Macaca mulatta: one gene and its partner. The protein of the gene in region 2 interacts with the protein of the main gene of each other region in a biochemical or structural test. Links are inferred from orthologs where the notes say so. Each region holds a gene or a part of one and is shown on either strand. Other genes may lie near its edges.

Region 1 (3,655 bases), about 65 Mb from region 2:
CGTATTTGCTAATCTAAGCCATATTGTGAGGATCTCAAGGATGATACTTGTCAAGAGTTTGGGGCCTTGAGAGCACAATTTTCAAAGTAATATTTAGTATTTTCTGACTATAGAGTTCATTTGTCTTGTAAAATATATTTTAAAATTACAGAGAAGTGTGAAGTACAAATATCTCAGTGCTACTATTTAAAAAACGCAATTAGTGTATAAATCCTTCCCCATCTTTTTAACAGCATAATTTTAGTATGTTAACATTGGTTACTTTTTTATCTCTTCTTCCATCATTTTCCCTGCTTCCTTTTTCTTTTGTCATATTCTTAAAACAATTTTGCAACCACAGGTACCCACATTGCTGTCACTGCCAGCCTTGGGCTACTACCGAGGATAATGGAGCCAGGGCCTTGGAGAAGCACAGAGGAAGTCTAGAACTGAGGGGGCCTATGACACAGGAAGTTCAGGATGCAGGGTCTCAAAGGAACACCTGCCTCTAATGTTTACAGAAGTGAAGAAAGGACTAAGGGACTTAAAGACATGCAGGTGTCTTCATCCTGATTCTGTCTTTATTATTGCGCAATGGCTATAAAATAATGAGCTTAATTTTTTTTTTTTGTTTTCTGGGTTGGCTAATGGAAATCGACGCTAGCACTTCCCCAATATTAGACTTACCTAATTCCAAAGTAGCATTCAAGGAAAGAAAAAGCAGTGGAGCAGGATCAGTAAGCTCAGACTCTCCATCTCCATTATTTTAGCCTTGACCATTCTTCTCTAATCCTTTTAAATTATCTTCAGTTTCCTGTTCAAATTATATGGCTTCAGTTACAATTTGTTTGACCCTGTATTCAGAGCTGCAATATGATTGTTGTGGGCCCTAGGTAGTTTTGCCTTCTTAGACCCCTTCTTCCATACAAAATTTAAAGTGATATTTTACAATTGTGTTTGTATGAAATGAATGTATTAATATTTTAGATTAAAACATTTTGTTTAGTCTAAAAGTTCAGTGTTTTCTTATGAGGCTGAAAAAAAAATTAAAATATTTTTCTGGGCTTCTAAAATACTGTGGGCCTTAGGTACTGTGCGTAATGGATAAGTTGGCACTGCCTATATTCTGAAGGGCATCACTGGAAAAATAGCAGTCATTATTCTGTCCCCTTCTCCCACTAGCACAGTTCTTGGGGAAGCCTTTGCCACCCCAAGCAAGAGCACTATAGTTTCCATGGTTATAGATCTATAGACTTGAACTTCCTTCCCAACCTAACCAAAACTCACGCGGGTTACTTGGGACCATTCATCTTCAGAAAAGATAGGAAGCAGTGGTTTCTTTTAGTCTTCAGATATTTTGTTCTGGTCGGTCCCTAATCTATAGTTTTGAAACTCGTGCCGCACTTGAAAGGGAAACATCCTACTACCTTTCTTTGCTCTCCATTTCCCACAAACCCTTTCCTTCATCGTCACTCCCTCCATTCTTCTCAGCATATAGATACAAGACCCTTCTTTCTATTATTTGTTGAGAGCTAGGCCTGTAGAATAGAGATGAACAGACCATTCATGTTTCCCTGAAGCTATTTAATGCTGCTCCCAGTCTTCTGTCCATACCATTCCTTCCCTGCCCCTAGGAGTGGGGTTAAGGTCTGTGACATGCAGACTGTAAGCACAGTCAGAATCTGCAGCTCTCAACCCAACAGAGACTGTGGCCTCAACATGCCAACCGGAGCAGGTCTCCTCCTCTGCATTACCTTCCTCCCATTTCTCTTGCTGAGTCCTGATGAGTTGAGCTGGAGGAACTAATAGTCAGGATGCCCTGGAATTGATGCTGCTCTGTTTTGTGCTCACAAAAGAGCCGTGTAACACATGACCACCTGAGTTGAAGCCATCCAGTCGCAAGTCAACAGACAGCAGTTGATGGAATTCTCAGTAGAAATTCAGTAAGGGTGCCCACATTTTTTTTTTTCCACCTATACTCTACCAATAGCTAGATTGGTCTAAATCTAGAGTCACTTATATGGTATTTAGGAAAACTTGTTTTATCCAAGCACAAAGAAAAGCACATACATTTTTATGATCATCTGCTTCGTCAGGGTAAATAAATGATTTAAAAAGAATTTTGATCAGCAGCTCTAGTTTACCAGTACTTTAATATTAGTTTTCTTACAAATTAATATATTTTGCAATATTTCCAGAAAATCAGTGCGGGAGAATAATATAATTTAGGATATATTTCCTGACCTTTTCTTAAATGGCTTTATGTGCTATTCCCCCACATTCTGCTTTCTCTATTTTCTTTTTTATTTAACCTATAATTATACTTTCTAGTATATTCTGAGTCTGTCTTCTAAGCCACCTTACATTTTTCCTGGAACAAGAGAGGGAATAAATATGTTGTCTCTTAAATCAGGAGAAAATAAAAATATCCCAGGGGAGCTGTGATTATGCCAAGAGCTCTAAACAGAAGTTTGAGAAGGTAAAATTAAGTTATAATGTCTGAGTTGTTTTTATTTTCTTCCTTTGATGTTTACAAAGGTATCCATAAGAACTTTAATTTCAGGGAAAAAATGCCTGATTTGCTCTTTTTGACGTTTCCTTGTCTCTTAAGAAGTCAGTTAAATATTTTTCATAGTTTATATTCCTATTTCATAGATTACTGTAAAATGTGTTTAAACCTACGAATTATAAAATAGTATTTAGATTCTAGCATGAGTTAAATAGATCAATCATATATCTTTAGGTTTGTGGATTTGACATGTAAATTATGTGTTGTGTATAAGTTACTAAACATACTGCATGGTTATTGATAAACTTGTTGCTTGTTTTTTCCAAATGCTATCAGTGTTTGTGGACTTTCTAAAATTAGTGTGAATTTTGGAATGTTCTGTAATAAAATATAATTTCAACTATTTTGTACATTTAAACATGCCATGTTGTATATGTCTGTATTTAAAAATATTGTAAATATCTGCATTTTTAGAATTATGAAAGATTTTCCTCAAAAATGACAACTCTCCATACTTAATTGTGACACATTATAAAATATCTGATTTTAAGCTTTTGGATTTTATCTTGTTCTAAAAATTAAGTTTAAACATGCTGGAGATTCCATAAAAATAAAATTTTGAAAATAAAGTGATCATTTCGATTCTTTCTAAATTATTAGCAATATATACATTGAATTGCAAAAAAAAATGCCACATATTAATTTATCAAAGATTTGTTGAGCATCTATTATACAGAACACTGTAGGGGAAGCAAAGATGAGGAAATCTTGGTTTCTTCCCACAAGAAGCCTTATCTAGTAAGTGGGAAAACAGATAAAGCCCAACATGAATAGCTAAGACACTAGGATGCAAAAAGACTCCCAGGGTAATGGATGGTTAAACAAATGAGAAAATTCTCTGGAATATGAGCAGTGAGATCAATTTCTGGGGAAGAGAAACCGCCTAATCAGATTTGGTTAAATAGCATCTGTGGGAGGATGCTCCAGAGAGAAGTGTTTAGCATAGATGTGGAGATAAGGAATGAAAATGGTGCGAGTTTTGGTTAAAGGGTAGAGTATATGACGATGTTCGTTACGAAAGCAATACACATTCTGTCAATGAAAGGCTATAGAAGGTGTAAAGGAAGTGAAAATCTACCTTAAAAGCAGTATTCACTCATTTATTGA
Region 2 (2,097 bases):
TTTAGCCAATCAAACGACTTCCCTTCACCCCTCCCGGTAGCTCTTATAAATTACATCAAATTGGTTATTCTTTCCACATTCTTCTCCTTGTAAAAGAAGCTGTAACTGCAATTTTAGCCGTAATGTCAGGACGCGGAAAGCAGGGAGGCAAGGCCCGCGCTAAGGCCAAGTCGCGCTCGTCCCGCGCTGGCCTCCAGTTCCCGGTGGGGCGAGTGCACCGCTTGCTGCGCAAGGGCAACTACGCGGAACGGGTGGGGGCAGGCGCCCCGGTGTACCTGGCGGCGGTCCTCGAGTACCTGACCGCGGAAATTCTGGAGCTAGCAGGCAACGCGGCTCGGGACAACAAGAAGACGCGCATCATCCCTCGCCATCTGCAACTAGCCGTGAGGAATGACGAAGAGCTCAACAAGTTACTCGGGGGTGTCACCATTGCCCAGGGCGGCGTCTTACCCAATATCCAGGCTGTCCTGTTGCCCAAGAAAACGGAGAGTCACAAGCCTGGCAAGAACAAGTAATTAAGAGGCTTGACACCATACTCATTCACCCCAAAGGCTCTTTTAAGAGCCACCAAAGTGTCAAATGAAGGGCTGATCACGAAATAGCGCATTAGCTCTTTTTTTGAAAACTTGGGTGGCTCTAAAAAGAGCCTTTGGTCTTTGGTTTGTTTGTCTGCATTTATTTGCTTTTGGCTTTGTGGCTTTCAGTTTTCTTTGGTAACAGAACGGCCTGGATGTTAGGCAAAACGCCGCCCTGGGCGATGGTGACTTTGCCCAGCAGCTTGTTCAGTTCCTCGTCGTTGCGGATGGCCAGCTGGAGGTGACGAGGGATGATGCGCGTCTTCTTGTTGTCCCGAGCTGCGTTGCCCGCCAGCTCCAGGATCTCGGCGGTCAGGTACTCGAGGACCGCCGCCATGTAGACTGGCGCGCCAGCCCCCACCCGCTCCGCGTAGTTGCCTTTGCGCAGCAAGCGGTGCACTCGCCCTACCGGGAACTGGAGGCCAGCGCGGGACGAGCGCGACTTGGCCTTGGCGCGAGCCTTGCCTCCTTGTTTGCCACGACCAGACATGACTGAAACCAAGGTTAAACACAGACAATGCTCAGAACCTCGCTACAAAATAAGCTTGAAAGAGAACCAAGAGGAAAGCCTTTATAAGCTTTCCTAGGGGTGGGGTCTAGAACGAGTTTTTCATTGGTCCTAATATGGCTTCAGAACCGGCCAATCAAGTCAAGAGTCGGTGTTGTTGCGTACGCATTGCTGAAAACGCAAGGTCCGCACACGGACCAATGGAAATGAATGACTTTCGGAGCCCTAATTTGCATAAGGTGGTTATAAAAGAATCAGGCCCGCCCATTCTCTTACTTCTTTTCTTGGCTAAGCCGCGTTTGTACTGTGTCTTACCATGCCTGAACCGGCAAAATCCGCTCCGGCTCCTAAAAAGGGCTCCAAGAAAGCCGTCACCAAAGCCCAGAAGAAAGACGGCAAGAAGCGCAAGCGCAGCCGCAAGGAGAGCTACTCCATCTACGTGTACAAGGTGCTGAAGCAGGTCCACCCCGACACCGGCATCTCGTCCAAGGCCATGGGCATCATGAACTCCTTCGTCAACGACATTTTCGAGCGCATCGCGGGAGAGGCGTCCCGCCTGGCGCACTACAACAAGCGCTCCACCATCACGTCCCGCGAGATCCAGACGGCCGTGCGCCTGCTGCTGCCCGGCGAGCTGGCCAAGCACGCCGTGTCCGAGGGCACCAAGGCAGTCACCAAGTACACCAGCTCCAAGTGAGTCCCTGCCGGGACCTGGCGCTCGCTCGCTCGAGTCGCCGGCTGCTTGACTCCAAAGGCTCTTTTCAGAGCCACCCACCTAATCACTAGAAAAGAGCTTGTTCACTTACTCCCTTAGTTTCTTCTCATAAAGTAATTTTAGCGTAAAGGTCATGGGAAATGCCACACGTAGGTTTTTAACCATTTGGAACTTGAGGTCCCCGGTGCATGATTGGATTTGCTTTTGAATCTAGAGCGTGTCTTCACTCATTGTGCTGCTTAGCATTCCCAGGAGTCGGTTCTCAATTAGGATGTTGGGAATCCGCCTCTTTACCCGCC

The links. The genes of interacting proteins can lie anywhere in the genome.
Region 1: of the proteins of H2AC20 (region 2) and MYSM1, one has a biochemical effect on the other in vitro, tested with the Homo sapiens proteins (2 studies listed by BioGRID). The link is inferred for Macaca mulatta from reciprocal best matches to the Homo sapiens genes H2AC20 and MYSM1.

The regions. Positions count from the first base shown.
Region 1 is NC_133406.1:181,988,312-181,991,966, forward strand, and holds the end of MYSM1 (deubiquitinase MYSM1), read left to right. Parts: intron 1-340; coding exon 341-491; 3' UTR 492-3,117; downstream 3,118-3,655. UniProt on the Homo sapiens protein: Metalloprotease with deubiquitinase activity that plays important regulator roles in hematopoietic stem cell function, blood cell production and immune response.
Region 2 is NC_133406.1:117,264,206-117,266,302, forward strand, and holds H2AC20 (histone H2A type 2-C), read right to left. Parts: upstream 1,123-2,097; 5' UTR 1,066-1,122; coding exon 676-1,065; 3' UTR 656-675; downstream 1-655. Other genes in the region: H2AC21 (histone H2A type 2-B), read left to right, coding at 123-515; H2BC21 (histone H2B type 2-E), read left to right, coding at 1,400-1,780. UniProt on the Homo sapiens protein: Core component of nucleosome. Nucleosomes wrap and compact DNA into chromatin, limiting DNA accessibility to the cellular machineries which require DNA as a template.